Linked DNA regions of Oryctolagus cuniculus. The protein of the gene in region 4 purifies or fractionates together with the protein of the main gene of each other region. This does not show direct contact. Links are inferred from orthologs where the notes say so. Each region holds a gene or a part of one and is shown on either strand. Other genes may lie near its edges. The genes, in order: SNRNP70, SF3B1, RNPS1, PRPF40A, NCBP3 and RBM25.

Region 1 (3,500 bases), on a different chromosome or scaffold from region 4:
TTTCTGGAGGCTTGTCAGAGTCTGCTCAGAGAGCAAGCGTTCTGTGATGCTGCCTCAGCCGTCTGAAAGCCACAGAGCTTTCCCAACTCCCCAGTCCACTCCTGTGGCCCCTGCCTTGGGCCAGTGCCCAGATAAGCCCTTTAGCCAAGGATTGCTAATGGTAGGGTGAGAAGCAGAGGGGGAGCAGAGTGCGCCTGTGTGCACACACAGGCTGGGCTTCTGGCCAACCTCTCTGCTACCTTCTCAGTTATGATTTTTTTTTGCATTTTTAATTATTTATTACAGAGGGAGGGAGGGAGAGAGAGAGCAAGGTCTTCCATTCAGTGGATCATTGCTCAGTTGGCTACAGTGGCCAGGGCTGGGCCAGGCCGAAGCCAGGAGTTAGGAGCTGCATCTGGGTCTCCCATGTGGATGGCAGGTGTTTGATCAGTCTTGAGCTGCATGGAAGTGGGGCAGCTGGAACTCCAACTAGCACGTACAGGGGGTGCAGGCGTCCCAGGCCTGGCTCTCCTGCTGTGCCGTTACGCAGGCCTGTGTGTCTGTTTGCTATGTGAAAAGCACAGTGACGGGGGTCTTCTGTTTCGTTCGCAGCTTCTAGGGCTAGACCAGGCCAAAGGCAGGAGCCTGGAGCCCCACCCAGGTTCCCACATGGGTGGCAGGAGCTTGAGTACTCTGTCTCTCTTTGTAATATTTTAAACAAATCTTTTAAAAATTAGTAATCACTTTTTAAGTGGATGATGAGTGAGCTGGTAGAGATGGAGGGATTTGAGCATGGAGAATCACAAGTGTTGCAGGGACACAAAGGATTATCTTGGAGTTTCCGTAAGTCCTGCAGGTCGTCCTTGACACTTGGCCCGGTTTACGTTCTTGGAGGATTTCCTTCATGACTTCAGTCTATGACTTCAGTCTGCGCTGGGCCTCCTGCAGGGAGCTCTGCCCTGGCGCGTTGCCCCCACTGTGCAGTCTGAGGCTCCCGTGGGAGGCAGGAGCCATTGTGTTGACGTCACCGACTTTGGGCATCAAATCTCCTGCAGAGTTTTTTTTCCTTGTAATTATTTTCACTCCTTTTTATTTTATTTTATTTTTAAAGATTTATTTTATTTATTTGAAAGACAGTTATAGGCCGGCGCCACAGCTCAACAGGCTAATCCTCCGCCTAGCGGCGCTGGCACACCGAGTTCTAGTCCCGGTCGGGGCGCCGGATTCTGTCCCGGTTGCCCCTCTTCCAGGCCAGCTCTCTGCTGTGGCCAGGGAGTGCAGTGGAGGATGGCCCAAGTGCTTGGGCCCTGCACCCCATGGGAGACCAGGAGAAACACCTGGCTCCTGGCTTCGCATCAGCATGGTGCGCCAGCCGCGGTGGCCATTGGAGGGTGAACCAACGGCAAAGGAAGACCTTTCTCTGTGTCTCTCTCTCTATCTACTCTGCCTGTCAAAAAAAATAAAAAAAAAAAAAAAAAAAGGTAAGAAAGACAGTTATATAGTGAGATCTTTAATCTGCTGGTTTACTCCCTAAGTGGCCAGAGCTGGGCTGGTCCAAAACCAGGAGCTTCTAGGTATTTCACGTGGGTGCAGGGACCTAAGCACTTGGGCCATTTTCCACTGCTTTTCCAGGTGTGTTAGCAAGGAGCTGGTTGGGAAATGGAGCAGCCAGGACTCGAACTGGCGCCCACATGGAATGCCGGTGTTGTAGGCGGTGGCCTTGTCCACTGTGCTGCTAGGAAACAACACCGACCCCATTTTCACTATGTTTTAAAGGCAAAGAGATCTTTTGTTTGCTGGTTCTTGCCCCAAATGCCTGTAATATCTGGGGCTAAGCCAGGCCAAAGCTGGGAGCCCAGAACTCAGTCTGGAAACTGTGTGGGTAGCACCGGGTTCAGCCACTTGAGCTGTCACTGCTGCCTCTCAGGGTGTGTGTTAGCAGGAAGCTGGGTCAGAAACGGAGTAGCCAGGAGTGGAGCCAGGCACTCTTGATAAGGGATGCAGGTTTCCCAGTGGCAACGCAGTCACTGTGTAACACCCATTCACCTCCGAACTGAGGTTCAGTACGTGCCTGGCTGCTTGCTTTCTCTTTTTTCTTTTTCTTTCTTTCTTCTTTTTTTTTTTTTACATTTATTTATATGAAAGAGTTCCAGAGAGGCAGAGAGAGAGGGATCTTCCATCTGCTGGTTCACTCCCCAGATGGCTGCAACAGCTGGAGCTGCGCCTATCCGAAGCCAGGCGCTTCTTCCAGGTCTCCCACACGGGTGCAGGGGCCCAAGGATTTGGGCCATCTTCTTCTGCTTTCCCAGGCCATAACAGCTGGATAGAAGTGGAGCAGCTGGGACGCAAACTGGCGCCCATGTGGGATGCCGGCCCCTCTGGCTGCTCCTTTAAGGGTGGCTCCCCGGTGGCCAGGTGGGACAGTGTCAGGGCTAGGGTCGGTGTCGGGTGTGGTGACAGCTCTTCTCACTGGCTCCTCCTAGTGGCCACAGCGCATTGAGGGAAGCAGGGCTTGGACTGCCCTCCTGGGGCTCCCTGGGGCTGCAGCTGTAGTGTGTCCAGTGGGCAGTGCAGGCCCACGTGACAGCTCAGCTGGGTTATGGCTGCCTCTGCCGAGAAGCCCCCTGGGATCCCCTGGTCCCTTAGGGCTTGCTGGTCTGCAGCGGCTGTTAGACCTAGTGTGAAGGAAGCCGGACCTGTGGTGTGGCTATCTCCGTCTACGAGTGCTGTGCTGCAGAGACGCAGCGCAGCAGCGCCCCTCGCTGGTGCCAGGTCGCTGCCGGTGTCCTGCTTACAGAGTGTTCTTCCTGCACAGGGGACCCTCACAATGATCCCAACGCTCAGGGGGACGCCTTCAAGACCCTCTTTGTGGCGAGAGTGGTGAGTCCCCAGCTCCTGGCCCGGGAACCCCAGGCTGCTGACAGGCTGGGTCTGGGGAAAAGGACGGCAGGGTAGTGCTGGGGGTGCTCCCGGGCTCTGGACAGCTCCCTCCGCCCACTCACCTTCCTGTTTGTCTCCTTGTAGAACTACGACACGACAGAATCCAAGCTCCGGAGAGAGTTTGAGGTGTATGGGCCCATCAAGAGAGTAAGTGCCGGCCGGGGTGCCTACAGGAGGGGACAGTGGCCTGGGAGGGAGCAGGCTGGGTTCCAGTCCTGAAAGTGCCTCAGATCGTCCTGGCACCTGACTGCGCTTCCGGGGGCCATGGAATTGGGGAGCAGGAGTAAAAGTCAGGCCTGCTCGCTGAGCGGAGGCAGCAGAGCACACCGACATCTGTCAGTGAGGCCGTCGGTGCACAGGCAGGCCCGTGCGTCCACACGTTGTCTGGCTGCTATTGCGGAAGACCAAGTTGTGTGACCTCAACCGGAGCTGTACTTCCTGGGTCATTACAGGAAATGCGCGCAGCTCCTGCTGTAGAGCAAGGCTTCAGACTTAGTTGCATTTCTTCATTTAATTTAAAAACCACTTGAGTGCTCTTTGTTGCCATGATGAAGTACCTGACACTTAACAGAGGGGGGGAC
Region 2 (4,254 bases), about 46 Mb from region 4:
TAAATATTGTATAATCTTTTTACTTGAAACAAAAATAAATATTACATATTTTTAAAGGCCACGCCAGTGGGATTCAATCTAAGTCATCCTCTCTATTTCAATAGCCTAAGAATGGTTGCTGACTCCAGGTCATCCTTCACACTACAACCTGTGACCTTCCCAAAACACAGAAATAATATGACCTGGAGGAAAGAGCCAGTATCTGTGGCCACTGGTGGGAAGCCTTCCACGATGACACTAACCTAATATTTCATCCTCTCAGTTGAGGAAGTTCCCAAAGTGTAAAGTCTTGCTTCCCCATCTATCTCACCCAAATACATATAGTCAAGCCAACACAAACTTTCAAAGATCAATTAAGTACCTTTTGTTTGTGAAACTCTTTTAATACTTCCAGTATGTATCTTTCAATGTTGATTAAATATTTAAGCATACATAATGCACCTACTGGGTATTCTAAGATAGAATTCCTGTAAACAACCTCAAAGTATGAGAAAACTTTAATAGAAAAACTATCCTAAGTGAAATAATACAAATATATTGAATACTACAATAGCACACCCCAACCCCAAAAGAAACTAATTTCCAGCTTATAAGAAATCGCTTGACAAGTGAAAATAGCTAAAGCACAAAGAACTAGAGTTCTGCAGAAAAATACCACAAGGAAGAGAGCGAGAAGCTATGCAAATACTGTATTTCTATTTAACAGTTATCACCCTGCAACTTATCACACACAGTGATAATTTTCACAGAAAGTACTCAGATGTTATACCAAATTTTCCACTATTTTCTTTAAGGCATTACTTAATTTACATTGATAGCATAATCTCAAATAAAACAACGATTTGCAATCAAAAGGCCTTTTAGCTGGGTTTCTAACATGCAGGAAAACCAACTGCAATTTTTGATTTTCCTGACCAAGGTTATGAGATATTGAAGATACCAATAAATAAGCAATCAACGCTGCTAAGTGACCCCCAAATGAGTAATCTACTCCTGAATGAACAAAACTTGCAACATCTTTATATTTTCTGGTTATTTTGCAAAAGGTATTTTGAGATAGTCTAAAAACAAAGGATTAAGGCCTAAGAACAGTTCTGGGCTTAGAAAGCATTGAGCCTCAGTTCCATCCACATTCTGGTCCTAACCAACCTTTCCAGATTCATCTTCTACTTCCCCTTTGCACCTCTTTTCCTGCCACTGCAGACTTCTCCAACATACTTTTCAGACGCACTGCCTTGTTAACAGTTCTCTCAGGTTCACACGTCCTCCTCTAATTTAAAACTGACTGATCCTTTCAAGACTGGGGACACGTCACCTCTTCTGTGAAAACAGCCCTAACCATAAATCCATCACTCCTACCCAAGTTCGCAGAACACACTGCTTACATTTCTATCTAAGCAGTCATCTGGCCTCTTAAGAAAATTCAGATAAATACGTGTCAGTGTACCCCATCACACTAGAATGTTTGATGGCCTCTGAGTCGCTTACCTCTCACAGACCAATACCAAACCACACACCAAGAAACGACATACATAAATAACGACATGAAATAAAAGTCATCTTGAAAGCCTTGTGTACAGTGTAAATTTTGGATCCAAAGCCAAATCAAGGAGTGCAGTTCTAAATTCCCAATCCCCACTTCCTATTCTCTGGACACTCCCTAATGGATTTCACTCTACTCCCAACATTCGCCTAATTTTGTATACCCTGTATACTAGAAAAGGATCAACTATCTTCAAAACTTCGGTCACCAGCCAATATAATATGACTTTCCTTTTGCACATGCTCCTCCAATAATCAGCCACCAAAGAAAAAGATAAATATACTATAAATTATTAAGGAAGGCAAAAAACACCGGATCATTTCTTCCAAGAAAAATAATCAAGTAACCCAGACACCTGAAGACACACATTTTACCCAGGGTTAGGAGTCTGCGGCCTCGGTTTAACATTCCCCGAAAAGCGGCTGCCTATTTCAGCGCTTTCCTGACTCCCTGCACAAACTATGCCGACCACAGTACCAAGAGGTGAGCGGGACTCTCCTCCCACGCTTCCCCTATCCGTCGGCCTGGAATCCTCCTTAGCCACCCGCTTAAACGAGGCTTCTGGTCAGGGAAGAGAAGAAACCCTCAAGCAGCTGCATTCAAACACGGAACAAAGCGCCTGTCGTGGGTGTACGAGTAGGACGCCATTACGCGGGGCAGTGGGCTGCGCCGCTAGCGCCGAGGAGACGCCTCAGACCCCCAAAGCGCGGACTCGGCCCCTACAAAAAAACTAAAGGAGCGTCAGAGGCTCGGAAAGGCAGTCTTAGCAGGATGGCGGCAGAGAGGGCACGTAAACGGGAGAGCCTGCTTACCTTCGTGAGTCTTGGCGATCTTCGCCATTTTGTCCACTCGAACACACAGACGGAACTGGCGCTCCCAAGCACTTCCGCTCGTCGCCGCCGCCACGGAGAAAAATAGCTGGGACTGCTCTCTGCGCGTGCGCCAAGCGGGAGCGCGCTCCGTCGAATGACACGTGACAGAGCAGCCACCTAGATGGAATCGCGAGGTGCATTGTGGGTGTGGGAGGAACCGGGATTAGTCCGGGGGCGGGTCTTAGTTTGTGACCCGGGAAAACTCTGCCTGGGGGTGAGGGAGGCAGTGAGTGGGTAGATTACTCGGTGGTGGATAAGAACAGACCCTGTGGGAAACTATGGGTTCGGAGCTGGAAGAGACCTCAGCCTTTCAATTACCTTTGTCCAAATTCAAAGGCGTCTCGGGGCTGGAGAAAAGCTTTCTTAGCATGTTTCAGCTGTTGCCGTGCTTAGCTAAGGAGACAGTCTTAACAGTCTCACACCTCACGCTAACTTTCAAGGTCATTTTTCCTGCTGCCCTTTTCTCAATAATTGCCTGCTGTCTCTATAGGAGTTTCGTTTCCAACTGACGTTGCCAAACTACTTCACAAATAGTCCAGTAAAATAGGCAAGCTATTGCTAATACCATTGAAGACAAAAAAAATTAGAATGGGGAGATATGTAAATTGTGCAAAGTCACACAGTTACCAAATTGCACAACTTGAATGCTGTCACCATTATAAAGCTTTTTCACTTTATAGGTTCTTAGAATACAATTGCCCTAAATGTTACTCCTAAATCAGGAACTTTAGTAAGTCAGAATACAGTGGTGTTCTTTATGCTTAGATATGAATTATGCTGTCATAACTTGACACTATTTTTGGACTTTGGGGTTGAAAAAAACAGAAGAACTAAGGAGGGAGGTTGGGTCTAGGAAGCAGCCTAGGTAAACAGGTAGGGATCAAGGTTAGAGCCAGCAGAAGGTTAGCTTGCTGTTTGATAGACACAGTCTGAATAAATACTTAGTGGAAACTTCAGTAACACATAGGATTTTTATCAGCATCTGTGAAATAATCGATTTAATAAGTTTAAAACTTCAGATGTTTAATTTCCATCTCTTTATTAGTTCAAACAGAAGTTAATCTAATAGGGGGGACTACACTGTGGCCCAGCAGGTTAACGCCCTAGCCTGAAGCACTGGCATCCCACTTGGGTGCTGGTTCCAGTCCCTGCTGCTCCTCTTCCTATCCAGCTCTCTGCTATGGCTTGGGAAAGCAGTAGAAGATGGCCCAAGTGCTGGGGCCCCTGCACCTGCATGGGAGACCTGGAAGAAGCTCCTGGCTCCTGGCTTTGCACAGCCATTGCAGCCATCTGGGGAGTGAACTATCAATGTAAGACCTCTCTGTCTCTGCCTTTCCTCTCTCTGTGTAACTGTGACTTTCAAATAAATAATAAAATTTTTAAAAAAGAAGTTAATCTAATAGGGAATGTGGGGTCAGGATAAGAAAGATTGTTATGCAAATTATTGAGGGGCCCTTGCTGTGGCTTATCAAAGCGTAAAGCTGCTGCCTGCAGTGCCGGCATCCCACTAGGGCACAAGTTCCAGTCCCAGCTGCTCCACTTCCAATCCAGCTCTCTGCTATGACCTGGGAAAGCAGTAGAAGATGGCCCAAGTGCTTGGGCTCCTACACCTGCGTGAGAGGATCTAGAGGAAGTTCCTGGCTCCTAGCTTCAGATCAGCACAACTCAGGCCATTTTTGCCAGTTGGAGAGTGAACCAGCAGATGGAAAACCTCTTTTTCTCTCTGCATCTCCTTCTCACTCTGTGTAACTCTGACTTTCAAATAAAATAAATAAATCTTAAAAAAAAAAACCTGCTAAACAAAAAAAAAATCAAAAGAACATCAAGCTTTTTGCCTCA
Region 3 (4,046 bases), on a different chromosome or scaffold from region 4:
GGTCCCTAGCGGTGAGCACCCCCGATGTAGCACTAGAAAAATCTGGCAGGAGGATTACCTAGTGCTGGACTTTTTATTATTTTCTTTGACTCCTAGCAAGCTCTTCTTTTTCACTCCTGATAAATCCATCCTCCCTTCTGAGGTGTTCAAAGCGGCAATGGCGGCCTCACTTATCTGAGCTCTCACTTCTAACTCGACTCTGAGAAACGGTCCCTAATCGATTGCAATTTACGCCAAAGAGCAGCCTAATAACAAGATAAAAGGATGTAGAGAGTGAACGAATTGGCAAGGCAACAAATTAACTTTGCAGTACAAAGCTGAGCACACACGAAGGCAGTCAGGAACACAGCAAGCAGCAGGTACCCACAGGACCAGGGCATGCGGGGCAGCCACCACTTCCCCACGGGGCACAGGTCAAGCCGGCACCCAGCTCCTCCCTGAGGCGGCGGGTGGTCCCCGTCGCTTTATCCTAGAGTTTCGTTAAGGGTGACGGGCCCTCAGCAGCACACTCACGAGGAGGACAGGGAAGCCTAACGCGAGTGTGGCTGGCGGATCAGGCCTCGTCTCTGCTGTGGTTCCCCTCCAGGACACACTGGATTACGACTGGAGACAAACATCGTTTCAGAAGTGGTTGGTATCAGCACCAAAACATTTACTACCCAAGCACGAACACTTAGAGAGTAGTGAAAGCGATTCTCAAGTTGTCAATAGCAAACTGTAGTGCTAAGCACGACGTGTGCAGGGGGAAAGATTCGCACGAGGCTGTGATTTAAAGAAAAAACGAGATGGTGGCTCCACACGCGCCAAGAAACCCAACAGAGGGACCGCAGAGCCCCAGTGGTGGCTACTGAGCATTAAACATTACTTCAATTTTTCTGTATGGTTAGAACTTTTAAAAAGACGCAAGTGTGTGTGCGGGGGGAAGCTGACACTTGAAACTGGGCGAGATGCTCCACTTCATTTAAGGGCTGGCCAGGTGCCTGACGCCAGCACACGGTGAGCAGTCACGTTAACCAGTTACTCAAAACCGCTCATCTCTCACCCAGGCTTTCCACGAGGTTCTGCACAACCGCGTGACCTGTGAGCAGGCGCGGCTGCTCATCCCACCGCACACCGCGCGGCCGCAGCCCCGCAGCTGGGCAGGCGCTTCCACGTGATGCCGATCCACGTTCTGACCCAGGAAATACGAGGGCCGGCTGTGGACACTCCAACGAGCGGCAGAGGGCAGAGGATCCCCGGGCAGCTCCTTGCCAAGGCTGCCCTCTTCAGAATGGCTGCCTCCAAACCATAAGGGACCACGGACACCCGGTCAGGCTGGTGTCCTGGGACAACCCCTGGGTGTAACTCAGCCAAGAGCCCCGGCCTCGCTGTGGACCCTCAGCAGCCACTGTCCTCTCTAAGGCCTCTGGTCGCCAGTTTGTTACCAGCAATGCGGTGACAACAACCCCCCTTCCAGCATTTTCAAAGGCAGTAACCAATGAACTCACGAAACAGACCCCGCACCTGGTTGAGGCCCAACAGAAGTAACATGAAAAGGGCTGTTTCCAGAGGCTCTCCTCCCCGCACCGGGAGCCTCAGAAAGGTCATGGAAAATACCTATCTGCAAAGAACATGCGTAGGTTTCATTTTTTTGCACCAAAATCTATCTTTTAACTCCCCTTTCCATGAATTTTCCGAAGTTCCACACACTCCCAATTCCTGAATTCAACAGTGTCCGTGGGCCCCACCGTGGGATCACTCGGGGCAGCACGGCCACTACCGAGCGCGCCAGGAGTAACCTGGAACTGCCTTGTAGCGCCGTCACAAACCAGGTAAATCCACTTAGAAAACACTGGACACCCCACACCCAGCGGGAACTGCATTTCCCGTTTTCCCCTCCGAGTCGTCCTTTGAACCCCAGCCCGGGCTGGCTGCGCCGCGGGCCCCGTGAGCAGCGGCCACCTCGCTGGCCAGGGCGGCGACCCCCGCCCCGCCCCGCCCCGCCCGAGGACGAGCCCCGCCGGTGTCCTCGGGACGAACACCGAAGAGCCACGGGGGGCGCGCTCGCTCTGCCGGGCGCGGTCGGCAGCTAGAAAGCAAAGGTTGAGGTTCTCTGTCCACAAGTCCAGGGCCCGGCGCGGGACCTTGGTGACCGCCCCCGTCCTCCGGAAGGTGCGCGTCCAACAGCCAGAGAGAGGAGAGAACAGTTAGTCACGTCTCGAGCAGAAGGGGCCCCTCCCCGCACCGGAGCTGGGCCTCACGCACGGTCCACGCCAACAGCACGGCGGCAGGCGGCCCCGCGCCGCGCCGGCCCGACCTCGCCACGGCGCCGGGACCCGCCGGCAGCGCTGGAGCCGCCCCTCGGGCAGCGCGCGCCGCCTTCCCGGGCGTCCCACACAGCGGCCCCGCCGCCCCCCGCGCTCGCAGGGAGGGCCCGGCTCCCCAGCCCGCAGGAGCGCCGCCGCGGAGCGGACCCAGCCGGGCGGCTCTTCCGTCGGCGGCGGCCCCGACCACTTCCGGGCCGCGGCCTCGACGCCTCCCACTCCGCCGCCCCGGGCCACATTCTTTCTTTCCGAGTTCCGTGCCGCGCCGCCCGGCCGCCGCGCCATCGCGGGGCTGAGAAGCCGGCTGGCTGCACGATGCGACCCTCCCGGCCTGGCGGGCGGCCCCTGCAGCTCGGATGCGGTCGGATTCCGCCCCCAACTTACATCTTCCCGCCGCCGCCACCTCCTCCCGCTCTCCTCAGCCGCCGAGGCCGGCGCTTTTCTGTCGTCAGAGCGAAGGCGCGGGAACGTGCCGCCGTGCGGCGCACAGCGATGACGAAAACGCCTCAGCCAATGGGCGCGAGCTGCGGAGCGTTCGGGGCAGCGGACGAGGGTGGGGAGCGCCGTGAGGGTCGCTGGCTGTGTCTCCCCGGTCAAGAGGGCTCTCGGCCCTGGGCAGCCCCTTTCCGGAGCTCCCGGAGCGGGCATGGCGACTTGCCGGGGCCCCGGGGCCGGCACGGACGGGGCTGACGAGGCCGCGCCTCTGCGAGCGCGTGCGCACTGGGGGCGGCGGGTCTTCTCGCCCGGGGGTCTTCTGGGCGGTAGCCTCTCCAAGGCCGGCCTAGAGGGCTCGGAGGGATGGGCCGGCGCAGGACGTGGGTTAGTGCGGTCAAACCCCACTGCTGCAGAGGGAGCGGCGGGCGCGAAGGCCCGGGAGGCGCGGTCGGAGCCGCCTGGCAGGAGCGGCGAGTGGGGAGGGCTGGGGAGGGGGCTTCTGTGGGATTGCGGAAGGAAGGACGGCGCCCTCGCCCCAGCTGGCAGCCAGGAGGGCTGGGGGGAGCAGCGGGTGCAAGCCAGGGCCTTGCAGAAAGCAACCAGCGGGCAGTCGGAGAGGCAGCCCGGGTGCGGGAGGGTGGGGGGAGCGCTAGAGCGGTCGGGGTCTGCCGGCGCGTGAGACTCCTTCCCCATCCAGGAGGGTCACCCCGCCCTCACCCTTCACCTGCGGCCGAGGAGGGCAGCGGCCGGGGTCTGCGGGCGCGTGAGACTCCCCCATCCAGGAGGGTCCCCCTGCCCTCACCCTTCACCCGGGGCCGAGGGGGGCAGCGGTCGGGGTCTGCGGCACGTGAGACTCCCTTCCCCATCCAGGAGGGTCCCCCTGCCCTCACCCTTCACCCGGGGCCGAGGGGGGCAGCGGTCGGGGTCTGCGGCGCGTGAGACTCCCTTCCCCATCCAGGAGGGTCCCCCTGCCCTCACCCTTCACCCGGGGCCGAGGGGGGCAGCGGTCGGGGTCTGCCGGCGCGTGAGACTCCCTTCCCCATCCAGGAGGGTCACCCTGCCCTCACCCTTCACCCGGGGCCGAGGGGTGTCCAGGGAGTTGGGCACAGAAGCCTCCGGCGTGTGCTGCCCTGGGGCGGGGTTGGCAGCCCGTCCAGTCTGGACACATTCGAGGGACAGGCGGGAGGTTCAGTTCTCTGCACGCCTTCAGGGGCAGAGGAGGGCAGCCCCTGGCGGGGGTGGTGTTGGCCATGGGCCGTCTGGAGGAGGCCTTGGCCCCCAGGGCCCGGGCTCAGAACCTGTGCCTGT
Region 4 (4,257 bases):
CCTAGGGAGTGTTAAAACCTGTGTTATTCTAGAGTAACAGAATAAAAGAGTCTTATTTAAAGAACTCCTGCTGGCAGAATCTTTTGGATCTGGTGCCTATGAATAAAGATTTTTACACAAAATTTAGGGCTATATTCCAAATAAAAAAGAAGAAAACCACTTGATATTGAGCCCTTCTCCTTGTAAGGTTAAGTAAAAAGAGAGAGACACATAACATGCTCCTTTTTTCACTGCAGTTTCACCAATAACTCTAACCATCAAGGCTTAAATACTTACATATCAAATAATACTAATCAACAAAAGATCATACCTACTGGCTTTCCAAAATACTCTTGTTAGCCTAAGCTGTTGCTGATTTACTGAGATACTCAAATAGAAATGACCCAACAACCTAAAGAGTGTGTATTAAAGAACCTAATAACATAAAGCACAAAATTATTCATGGTAACTAAACCTGTTACCTTTATTGGATGCTTCTCTAGAAACTTAGTTCTACTAAATCAAGCTAACTAACTTAGGTCTACGGATGCTGCTGAGTCAGCATAAACCTTTTGCTCTAAATCACTCCTACAAAACAATCCATTTACAATTTATGTTAGAGATGGAAGGGACAGCTCAAAAGTAGGAGTGCAGAAGCAAAAAGCATTTTTTTAAAAACCAAAAACAGTATAAGTTGAAAACGAACTACCTGACACTGCTCTATGAAGAATCAGAATTACAGAGCAAATTTCCCAACCCTCCCTCACCACCCCACAACAGACAAAGGAGAAGATATTAAGCAGTAAAATTCATTCCAAGTCAAAGGCCTAAACAATCGCTATTTTCAGAGTCTATACACTTACATAGTCCATTGAAATAAGTTATGTTGACATTTCATACAATATTTACTCTTAAAAAGTTAACTCCAATTGACATGCTCAAGAGAGAAAAGGACATTAAATAAAAAGCCTAGATACACAGTTACTTAGGAAAAAAAACTCTTAAATTTTGTTGAGGTAGTAATTTTTTGATACAGAATACTTTTTCATTACATTCAAAATTTGATTACAGTCTTGATGCAACATTTTTATCTGAAAACTTTATCTGGGCATAAATTAATCCTCAACCAGCTACAAGTACGGCACTGATTTAAAATTCTAAAATGTCGACACAATACCTGAGGCAAAAAAGCACCAACAAATAGGAAACAAAACAAAAACATAACGTTCTTACTTGTCCCATTGGTGGCCCTCCCATAGGGGGCATCATTTGTGGCATCATTCCATGAGGTACAGGAGGCATATTTGCTCTCTGACCCATAGGGTGCATTCCCATTGGGGCATAATGCATGCCAGGGTGCCCCATCTGAAAAATAATGAGCATTTGAAAATTACCAAGTTAATAAGCATCTCAGCAATCTCATTTCAAGAAATCTCTTACCTGTAGTGGCCTATATTAGGCTACTGTGGGATGCATGACTGTAGTATAATGAACTTGCACATTCCATAACAATGTGGAAAAGGTGAAAAATGATCCTGGAGGGTTGAATCAGCTTGGTCCCCCCACCCCCCTTCACTAAGCACTGATTCAATCATCTACCGAATTGCTTGCTGGTTTTGGAAAATACATATTCAATGCTTACTTAGAAAGTTATGGTCAAAAAAATCACATCTTTATCCTGTTTTACATAGATATAAAAAAAAAAAGCCAGCTGTCATTTTACAATGCCACTAATTTGACACTTCAAAGACTTTGAATTTGTCAAATTCACTTCGAGGCAAACCTGTCTTAACAGAATGCACAGGATGGGTTGTCAGAGCCACTTCATGCCTAACATACTATTTCCTAACCTAAGCTTCAGCACAGGTAAAAGTTCCTCTCCCGAAAACACATCTCCGAAAACTTAAGTTTCTGTCACTCACAGACACTAAATGCAAACAACCAAGTCAACTATTTCACTGCGCATTTAACGCACTACTTTCTTCCTATGTGTCCATTGTTCCTGGCTTTTAAACCAGGGAATTCTCCCCAGCCAATTATCCCAGAGACCCCCTCCTCCCGCCGCAGACCACCACCACTACGCGTGCAAACAAATCAGCTTCTTGCAGTCTTAGCGACATCAAGCCTCTGCTAAACCAGGCCTTCGGCTCCGAGACGCTCGCCCCGCCCAAGGCCTGCCAGCACCTTCACCGCGCATCTGTCTAGGCCAAGCCCACTGGGAACTTCAAAGGTCCCACATACTTCTCTTTGTGCAGCCCTGCCCTGCGTCTCTCTCCCTCGGGACATAGCCCACCATCTGGAGTTCTTCCTTCGTCCACTCCACTCTTCTCCTTTCGGAGTACGCTTCCTGTCTGCCTCCGTTTTTCATTGTGCCGCTTTCCCCCTACACCACCGATCCCTTACCGAGGGCCGTCTCCTCAGGAAGCCGTCAGCGGAAACCCAAGAGCTGGAGCAGAGGTTGGAGCCGGACAATCTCGGCTCCCCGTCCCCAGGACCCCGCGAGGGAGGTTGGTTCTCCATTTCACTCACCATGAGGCCTCCACGCTCGGCTCCCGTCCCCGGCCTCATCGTCGGGCTCAGACTGCTCGGCCGGCGGCCACTGCCGCTACACATACCAACAAGAAGCGATCTGAGTGGCTGGCGCCCGCTGGGGCCAAAGGTTAAAGGATGCCCTGAGCTATGGGGCGGGCTCAGCGGGGCCAATAAAATGACAGGCTTCTCCGCTGTCCAATCGCAGTGCGCCGCCGACTCGCACTTCTGCGGCGATTGGCTCTGAGCCTCAGCCTCACTCGGCGTCCCGTGCACGGGAAGGGGGGGAAGAGGAGGGACAAGAGGAAGTTTCCGCGTCGAGTCCTTTGACTGGAAAACTCTACCAACTTCCTTTCGGCGGAGGAAGACTACCGTGCCCTATCTTCCCTGAGCTCCAAAAGCCTCACTGCGTAGGGGTGGGGTATTGGGGCCCGCCGCCTTCACCATCTCCCCCGCCCGAGTTACGTACGCGCCACAAACCTGCGGCCGCCCCCAAGAGGGTAGGGTGGGGTGGGGTGGAGTGGGGTGGGGGCGGGGTAAGCAGCTTCCAGCGTTAGCGGTAGCTGGGGCAGGATGCGCGCCAGTGCGCGCGCTGTGTGGGAGGCGAAGGGGCGGGGAGGGACGGGCTAGCGAAGAGGCGTCCAGAGCAAGGGAGCTCTGCCTGCAGCGGCGCAGAGCGCGCCGAGTCGCTGGGAGGGAAGTTGTGGGTGGGGAGAAACACGCCGAGAGCGGGATGGACTCCCGAGGCAAAGCGACGGGTTAGGAGGAGCAGACTGGGGAGCAGTGTGAGCGTAGAGGGGGAAAAGCACGCAGGCTCTTGAATGTGTATCGGAAGGGCCTGGGCGAGCTTTAGGACCCGGTGTTGACTGTGGGGCTGCTGGGGCACGCGCTTGCCTGGGTGGCGACGCGCCGGTGGCCGGGACTAAGCACGCTGGGGAGAGGCAACTCGGCTATTTGGGGCCTCGGCTTGCCTGTCCCTGCACGCTTCCCTGCGCCCGCTCTCGCCTGCTGTCCCGGAATCGGCCCGCGGCCGCGAGGCGCCCAGCCTCTCCGGCGAGCCCTCTGCTCCCTCTCGGCGCCGCCGCCCACCCTCTCGCACCCCTGCGCGCCTGGCCGGGTGGTGGAGGCCGCAGCGGGGCCCTGCCGCTGATTGGCTGTTGCGGTCGCGGGGCGGGGCCAGTGAGAGACGTTGGACCTCGGCGGTTCTCGCCGTCTTTCCCGCCATGTCTTTTGTGGAGAGCGGGAGGCGTTCTGCGCCGCGCCGCCGCCGCCTCGGCACGCCGGTGCCCTTCGCGGCGCCGCAGTACTCCGCCTTCTCTCAGGGGGACAGCTGGGGTGTGGGCGAAGTCGACGACGAGGAGGGATGCACCCAAGTGGCCCGCGACTTGCGGGCAGAGTTCTCGGCTGGGCCGTCGTCGGAGTCCAGGAGAGGTTCTCTGTTCCCGCCAGATGGAGATGGGTCGCCGGTGCTGCCGGAGAAGCGCAACGGCATCTTCCCGGCTGCTGCGGGAAGCCGAACCTCGGCTCGGCAGTGGCCGGTTCAGGTCCTTTCTATTCTGTGTGCGCTGCTGTTCGCCATCCTCCTCGCCTTTCTGCTCGCCATCGTCTACCTGGTCGTAAAAGGTATCGCAGCCCGGGCCGAAGAGTCTGCCCAGAGTTCAGATGGGCCCGGGTGTGGCTCTCGCTTCCGTCCAGCCCTCAGCCCCCGCCGTCCCCAGAGCAGGCAGGCAGGCAGGCAGGCAGCCGCGT
Region 5 (3,500 bases), on a different chromosome or scaffold from region 4:
CTTCAACCTGGCCTAGCCCTGACTGTTGAGGCCATATGGGGAGTAAGCCAGCAGGTGGAAGATCTCTCTCTTGTCTCTTCTCTTTCTCTGTAACTCTGTCTTTCAAATAAATAAATTTTTTAAAAAGACATTTAAAAATAGATTATTTTTTTTTAAGATTTATTTATTTATTTGAAAGACAGAGTTGCAGAGAGGTAGAGAGAGAGAGAGAGAGATCTTTCATCTGTTGGTTCACTCCCCAGATGGCCACAGTGGCTGGAGCTGTGCCTGTCTAGAGCCAGGAGCTTCTTCCAGGTCTCCCACACGGGTGCAGGTGCCCAAGGACTTGGCCATCTTCCACTGCTTTCTCAGGCCATAGCAGAGAGCTGGATCGGAAATGGAGCTGCAGGGACTCGAACCTGCACCCATATGGGATGCCAGCACTGCAGGCAGCAGCTTTACCTACTATGCACAGTGCTGGCCCCAATAGATTATTTTTAAAAAACAGACTGTGCTACTACTGTCTACTCTCTACACTTGTTTCCTTCCTTCCTTCCTTTTTTTTTTTTTTTTTTTCCAGATAGAGTTAGACAGTGAGAGAGAGAGACAGAGAGAAAGGTCTTCCCAAATGGCTGCCACGGCCGGCACAGCCAGGAGCCAGGTGCTTCTCCTGGTCTCCCATGGGGTGCAGGGCCCAAGCACTTGGGCCATCCTCCACTGCCTTCCCGGGCCACAGCAGAGAGCTGGCCTGGAAGAGGGGCAACCGGGTCAGAATCCGGCACCCCAACCGGGACTAGAACCCGGTGTGCCGGCACCACAGGCGGAGGATTAGCCTAGTGAGCCGCGGCGCCAGCGTCTACACTTGTGTTCATTTTTTGGTGTGTATGTTGACTGATGGCAGTCTGTAGCTGGATGAGACCGCAACAGTGAATTTGATCTGCTTTCCAGAAATAAAACCAGGGCTGACACTGTGGCATAGCAGGTAAAACCACTGCCTGCAGTGTTGGGAACCCACATGGGTGTTGGTTTGAGTCCTGGCTGTTCCGCTTCTGATCCAACTCCCTGTTAATGCTCCTGGGAGAGCAGTGGAAGGTGGCCCAAGTGTTGGGGCTCCTGGCTCCTGGTCACCCCAGCTATGGCCATTTGGGGAGTGAACCAGGGGGTGAAAGATCTCACTGTCTCTCCCTCTCTCTGTAGCTCTGCCTTTCAAATGAACAGATAAATCTTTTAAAAAGGAAAATAACCATTTGGGCACAATGTGATATTTTATTTTACATTTTATTTTAGGTAATGTGGTTTGGCTAGATGAAATGACAGCCACACGAGCCCTTATTAATATGAGTTCTCTGCCAGCCCAGGATAAGATAAGAAGCAGGGACGCCAGTGAAGACAAGTCATCTGAGAAAAGTAAGAAAGGTAACTGAGCACAAAGGTGGGACCTGTGGCCTAAAAGTCCTGTTTTGCACAGTCTTGTTTTGGGCTTTGGGTTACAGAGCAGAGCATTGAAACATCCCGTCAATGAGTGTGTCTGATGTTAGCTTGAATGCTTTGGACCCTCAGTAGAAAGGATGTTCCTTTACCATGATATAAGATGGACTGACACTAAGGTTCATCGTCTTCCTCACATTCCATTTTAGATAAGCAGGAGGACAGCTCAGATGATGATGAGGCTGAAGAAGGAGAAGTTGAAGATGAAAACCCAAGTGACGCAGAGGTTAGTAATAGGGCGAAATAATGTGTAAGGTTTTATTGTGAAAGTTTCTTACTGTGCTAGCTTTTACCATAAAACCTTTTGGGGGTGCATCAGGCTCTTGGCCTTTAAAATAACTGTAACAGTTCATCTTGAGATCTAGAGTAGTGCTCACACTTCTGTGTCAAAGAAAATGGCTTTATTGAGAAGTACTTTAAAGTATTTCATCATTAAGTGATGGTATATTTACTAATGATTTGTATACTATTGTTGGAAATATTTGAATATTCATTTCTAAAGTATTTGCCAAGTTCCTACTGTATACCAAGTTCTAGGTGCTAAAGATATGGAATGAAGCAAAACAAAGCTCATTACCCTCTCAGAACCTACTTTCTGGTGGGAAGTTGGACAGTGCACAGGTCCTTAGATGATGGACCGTCAGGAGGGAGTGAGTGCAGTGCAGAAAAGGGAGGGTGGGGGCAGAGGATGATGGGACTGTTGCTTTAGACAAGGTGGTGTGGGAAGCCTCTGACCTGGAAATTCTGCAGAGGAACTGGTGCTGCAACGCTGATGGATTCAGTGCTGTCTTGATGGTAATTTAGCTACTAAGGAAATACTAGTGACTAATTTTTATGTTGAAAATGTGTTTCTCTTTTGTTAAGTTGGACACATTGTCTCAGGTAGAAGAAGAGTCTCTGTTAAGAAACGATCTTCGTCCAGCTAACAAACTAGCTAAAGGAAATAGATTGTTCATGAGATTTGCTACAAAAGGTAAATTTGATACTGATTTTTACTTTTAATCAAATGATTAATGATTGAATGGCGTCTTTCTCTTCTGATTAGACGTTAGGTCAGGTCATCTCAAAATTCCCTTAAAAGTGTGATATTCTGTGCTGATGAAATAACAGCTTGCTGCCTGAGTAGGAATTTGTGCCTTTGAAAGTGAAAGTTAATTGTGTATTTTCGTGACTTCTGGCTGAAGTAGATTATTTCTGTTAAAGCTGGTTTACTCTAAATGCTTCTTAGCCAGTTACCATCTGAACTTTGAAAACTTTAAAATTAGACTTTGTAAATTTTTTTTGAAAGATTTATTTATTTATTGGGGGGCTGGTGCCATGGCTCCCTTGGCTAATCCTCTGCCTGTGGCACCGGCATCCCATATGGGCACTGGGTTCTAGTCCCAGTTCCTCCTCTTCCAGTCCAGCTCTCTGCTGTGGCCCGGGAGGGCAGGGGAGGATGGCCCAAGTGCTTGGGCCCCTGAACCTGCATGGGAGACCAGGAGGAAGCACCTGGCTCTTGGCTTCGGATCGGCATAGCTCCAGCCATAGCGGCCATCTAGGGGGTGAACCAACAGAGGGAAGACCTTTGTCTCTGTCTCTCTCTCTCACTGTCTTTAACTCTACCTGTCAAAAAAAAAAAAAAAAAAAAAAGATTGATTTATTTATTTGAACGTCAGAATTACACAGAGAGAGGAGAGGCAGAGAGAGAGAGAGGTCTTCCATCTGCTGGTTCACTCCCCAGATGGCCGCAATGGACAGAGCTGTGCTGATCTGAAGCCAGGAGCCAGGAGCTTCTTTTGGGTCTCCCACATGGGTGCAGGGGCCCAAGGACTTGGGCTATCTTCCATTGCTTTCCCAGACCACAGCAGAGAGCTGGATTGGAAGTGGAGCAGCCGGAACTAGAACCGGCACACATATGGGATGCTGGTGCTTCAGGCTGGGGCGTTAACCTGCTGTGCCACAGCGCCAGCCCAGACTGTAAATTTTTTTTTTTTTTTTTTTTTTTTTTTTTTTAGTAAAAGGCAAAAGATTTATTCGATCTGAAGAGAAAC
Region 6 (3,500 bases), on a different chromosome or scaffold from region 4:
TTAAAAAAACTAACTTTGCAGATTTTTTTTTTTTTTTTAATTTACTTGATAGAGTTAGACAGTGAGAGACGGAGAGAACGGTCTTCCTTCCGTTGGTTCACCCCCAAAATGGCCGCTACAGCCAAAGCTACATCGATGCAAAGCCAGGAGCCAGGTACTTCTTCCTGATCTCCCACGCAGCTGCAGGGCCCAAGCACTTGGGCCATCCTCCACTGCCTTCCCAGGCCACAGCAGAGAGTTGGACTGGAAGAGGAGCAACTGGGACTAGAACCTGGTCCCCATATGGGATGCCAGAGCCGCAGACGGAGGATTAACCAAGGGAGCAACAGTGCCGGCCCCAAATTCTCTTAACTGTTATTGATTTTATTTGCTGGAAAAGCAGAGATAAAGAGATGGATGGAGAGAGCGAGGGAGGGATAGATGTCGCTCCCCCTCTTCGTGGAGGAACGACACTAAACCCTGCCTAGGCTTCATATCCGAGTCACGGCACCATTATGTCGCTCCCCGTCTTCGCGGAGGAACGACACTAAACCCTGCCTAGGCTTCACATCTGAGTCACGGCACCATTATGTCGCTCCCCCTCTTCGTGGAGGAACGACACAGGACCCTGTGCTGTTCTTTTGTCTGCTCGGCCCTCCCCGGGATTGCTGCTGGTTCTTCCCGGGTTGGCTACTGACCCTTCCACCTCCGTGGAAGGGCGGTTCCCCCTGCCACTTTCCCCACTTCCGCAGGGGAGCGGCACACCGCCGGCCGGCTCTCTCGGGGGCTGCACAGGTGTTCCTTCAGATAGATGTTCCTGGTGCATGTTGTCTCTCTCCTCCTTTATAGTCCTCTTCCACCAATCCCAACTCTGCTACCCACACGCCGAGTACGCTGCTCTCCAATCAGGAGCAAGTCCTACAGTTTATTGGTTGAACTGGAGGCAGCTGTGTAGAAGCTGTTACTCCCTTCTCAGCGCCATATTGTGGGAGAGCAGATGCATAGAATAAGTCTTAATTCCAGTAACTTAGTCTAGTCCGAGTTGCTCCCCACAATAGAGAAATGGGAGACAGACAGACAGAGATCTTCCATCCATTGGTTCACTCCCCAAATGCCTACATCTGGGGTTGAGAGAGGCCAAAGGCAGAAGCATGGAATTCCATCCTGGTCGCCTATGAGAGTGACAACAGTCAAAGTACTTGAACCATCAATCCTGGCTTTCCCAGGGACAATAGCAGGAAACTGAATCAGAAGCAGAACAGCCAAGACTCACACTGGCACTGTAATACATGAGAACTCTGATGGATTTTATCTGCAACCTTATAAAAGAGCCTGAGTCAGGGCCAGAGCTATATGGACACTGGTTTGAGTTCCGGCTCTCCATTTTTGATCCAGCTCTCAGCTATGGCCTGGGTAAACAGTACAAGATGGTCCAAGTCCTTGGGCCCCTGCATCCAATTGAGAGACCCCAGGGGAAGCTCCTGGCTCCAGATCTGCTAGGCTCTGGCCGCTGAGGCCATTTGGGGAGTGAGCCAGCGGATGGAAGATCTCTCTCTCTCTAATTCTGCCAAATAAATAAAATAAATCTTAAAAAAAGAGCTTGCTTTAGCTTGATAGTGCATTGGAAAAGTAGCCAGGACTCAAACCTGCAACAATACGGGAGGTGGGAGGTAGGAAACCCAAGTAGCAGCTTAATCTGCTGCATCATCACAATGCCAGTTCCTTGTAGATTTCTTAATAGAAGAATACTGTATAAATTTATGAATTATATTCATTTATGACACATTTCCTATCAAAATATATAAAAAATTTAAAAGCAAACATTTGTAAGAAATATTTTTGTGTACTTAAATTGTCTCAATATTGCTTGAAATTGAATAGAATTAAATTACCTAACAACTGAGAAGCCTCTATCAATTATAAAGTTATCTGTAGTTCAGAGTAACAAGGTGATCAGATTTTTAAATTTATTTTTAATCTAGAACTTACCATTTCTCTTCTCCTTTCTTCTTCTCTTTCAGCCTCCTTTTCATATTCTCGAGTTTTCTTCCGTTCTCTGATTTCCCAATTCTTAAGGCGCTAAAAAAGATCCCATGCTTTAGCACTTCATACAATGATTCTATAGTTCTACAAATTTTAACTTACCTAAGTGCACCAGGATTTAAAACTAAAATCACTTCCTCAATTTACCTCTTGATAAGCGGCTTCTTTCTCTCGGAGTTTTCTTTCAAGTTTTCTTCGTTCATATGCATCTTCCTCGTCTTCTTCTCGGTCCCGTTTCTTGTCTTTCTCTCTCTCACGCTCCCGTTCCCGCTCTCGCTCTCTCTCTCGCTCTCGTTCTCGCTCCCGCTCTCGTTCCCGTTCTCTCTCCCGTTCCCGCTCTCGTTCCCTTTCACGATCTCTGCTCTTTTCTCTATGTAAACAGAAGATTTTAACTCAGTCAGTCTTTGTGCTCCTCTAGACACACAGGAAAGAGGGGATACACACACCACAAAGCACTACTGGAAGCACTTCTATACTCATCAGAGAGAGACTGTGGGCCCAGCCTCAAATCCTGAACTATGCTCTGAAGTCAATGTTACAGTTAATTGTGTATCAGAAAACAAACCTAAATATATTTAAAGGATTAAAGAATGCCCTACAGTAAATTGAAATCCCAACTAATTACATAACAGTGTACAACAGGAAAAAACAAATTGCTAATTCTCCTCAAAACTACAAGACTAATAAGCATGTTGAAAATAATCAACCTCAAAACAAAAATCAACCTCATTAGTGATCAAGTAATATAGAAATCAAGAAATAGAATTTTGGCTTGCTAGGAAAGTTCTCAAATATTTAATTCAGAGTAATAAAACAAAATTGCAGGCCGGCGCCGCGGCTCAATAGGCTAATCCTCTGCCTTGCGGCGCTGGCACACTGGGTTCTAGTCCCAGTCGGGGTGCCGGATTCTGCCCCGGTTGCCCCTCTTCCAGGCCAGCTCCCTGCTGTGGCCCAGGAGTACAGTGGAGGCTGGCCCCAGTGCTTGGGCCCTGCACCCATGGGAGACAGGAGAAGCACCTGGCTCCTGCCTTTGATCAGCACGGTGTGCCGGCCGCAGCGAGCCGGCCGCAGCAGCCATTAGAGGATGAACCAAAGGCAAAGAAAGACCTTTCTCTCTGTCTCTCTCTCTCACTGTCCACTCTGCCTGTCAAAAAAAAAATTGCAGAATATATATTAATACTAAAAAGTATACTTAATTAAACATAAGTATACATATGAAATAATACAGTTCATTGAAACAAAAAAATTACACCCTGGTTAAATTCTCAGTAACAGCTTTATCAGGACAGGAAGAAAGAAAGGAATTTTAACGCCCACTGAAGACTGAGCACTGGACTTCCAGTTCCAGCAACACAGTAGATGGAGCAAAAGTAGAAATCCAAGTTTCTAAGAAACTGCAAAACAGTATGTGTATTTTAAAATTAGTCTATAAAAAGGATGAGTCTTCTTCTCTTTCCTCCTGCTCTCCTGTGCTTCGT

Evidence for each region.
Region 1: the proteins of PRPF40A (region 4) and SNRNP70 fractionate together in Homo sapiens (co-fractionation; 3 studies listed by BioGRID, with this or other methods). This does not show direct contact. The link is inferred for Oryctolagus cuniculus from reciprocal best matches to the Homo sapiens genes PRPF40A and SNRNP70.
Region 2: the proteins of PRPF40A (region 4) and SF3B1 purify together in Homo sapiens (co-immunoprecipitation; 3 studies listed by BioGRID and IntAct, with this or other methods). This does not show direct contact. The link is inferred for Oryctolagus cuniculus from reciprocal best matches to the Homo sapiens genes PRPF40A and SF3B1.
Region 3: the proteins of PRPF40A (region 4) and RNPS1 purify together in Homo sapiens (affinity purification with mass spectrometry; 4 studies listed by BioGRID and IntAct, counting the BioPlex papers as one, with this or other methods). This does not show direct contact. The link is inferred for Oryctolagus cuniculus from reciprocal best matches to the Homo sapiens genes PRPF40A and RNPS1.
Region 5: the proteins of PRPF40A (region 4) and NCBP3 purify together in Homo sapiens (affinity purification with mass spectrometry; 3 studies listed by BioGRID and IntAct, counting the BioPlex papers as one, with this or other methods). This does not show direct contact. The link is inferred for Oryctolagus cuniculus from reciprocal best matches to the Homo sapiens genes PRPF40A and NCBP3.
Region 6: the proteins of PRPF40A (region 4) and RBM25 purify together in Homo sapiens (affinity purification with mass spectrometry; 5 studies listed by BioGRID and IntAct, with this or other methods). This does not show direct contact. The link is inferred for Oryctolagus cuniculus from reciprocal best matches to the Homo sapiens genes PRPF40A and RBM25.

What each region holds. Positions count from the first base shown.
Region 1 is NC_091449.1:8,216,266-8,219,765, reverse strand, and holds part of SNRNP70 (U1 small nuclear ribonucleoprotein 70 kDa), read left to right. Parts: intron 1-2,794; coding exon 2,795-2,859; intron 2,860-3,003; coding exon 3,004-3,066; intron 3,067-3,500. UniProt on the Homo sapiens protein: Component of the spliceosomal U1 snRNP, which is essential for recognition of the pre-mRNA 5' splice-site and the subsequent assembly of the spliceosome. SNRNP70 binds to the loop I region of U1-snRNA.
Region 2 is NC_091434.1:42,821,141-42,825,394, reverse strand, and holds the start of SF3B1 (splicing factor 3B subunit 1), read right to left. Parts: upstream 2,801-4,254; 5' UTR 2,786-2,800; coding exon 2,734-2,785; intron 2,533-2,733; coding exon 2,356-2,532; intron 1-2,355. UniProt on the Homo sapiens protein: Component of the 17S U2 SnRNP complex of the spliceosome, a large ribonucleoprotein complex that removes introns from transcribed pre-mRNAs.
Region 3 is NC_091450.1:33,008,948-33,012,993, reverse strand, and holds the start of RNPS1 (RNA-binding protein with serine-rich domain 1), read right to left. Parts: upstream 2,801-4,046; 5' UTR 2,690-2,800; coding exon of another isoform or gene 2,688-2,689; intron 2,663-2,687; exon of another isoform or gene 2,225-2,662; intron 1,966-2,224; exon of another isoform or gene 514-1,965; intron 246-513; 5' UTR 130-245; coding exon 59-129; intron 1-58. UniProt on the Homo sapiens protein: Part of pre- and post-splicing multiprotein mRNP complexes. Auxiliary component of the splicing-dependent multiprotein exon junction complex (EJC) deposited at splice junction on mRNAs.
Region 4 is NC_091434.1:89,171,337-89,175,593, reverse strand, and holds the start of PRPF40A (pre-mRNA-processing factor 40 homolog A), read right to left. Parts: upstream 2,801-4,257; 5' UTR 2,593-2,800; coding exon 2,383-2,592; intron 1,345-2,382; coding exon 1,213-1,344; intron 1-1,212. Other genes in the region: ARL6IP6 (ADP-ribosylation factor-like protein 6-interacting protein 6), read left to right, coding at 3,732-4,131.
Region 5 is NC_091448.1:49,093,509-49,097,008, reverse strand, and holds part of NCBP3 (nuclear cap-binding protein subunit 3), read left to right. Parts: intron 1-1,266; coding exon 1,267-1,395; intron 1,396-1,616; coding exon 1,617-1,693; intron 1,694-2,331; coding exon 2,332-2,440; intron 2,441-3,500. UniProt on the Homo sapiens protein: Associates with NCBP1/CBP80 to form an alternative cap-binding complex (CBC) which plays a key role in mRNA export. NCBP3 serves as adapter protein linking the capped RNAs (m7GpppG-capped RNA) to NCBP1/CBP80.
Region 6 is NC_091451.1:19,255,732-19,259,231, reverse strand, and holds part of RBM25 (RNA-binding protein 25), read right to left. Parts: intron 2,393-3,500; coding exon 2,170-2,392; intron 2,059-2,169; coding exon 1,969-2,058; intron 1-1,968. UniProt on the Homo sapiens protein: RNA-binding protein that acts as a regulator of alternative pre-mRNA splicing. Involved in apoptotic cell death through the regulation of the apoptotic factor BCL2L1 isoform expression.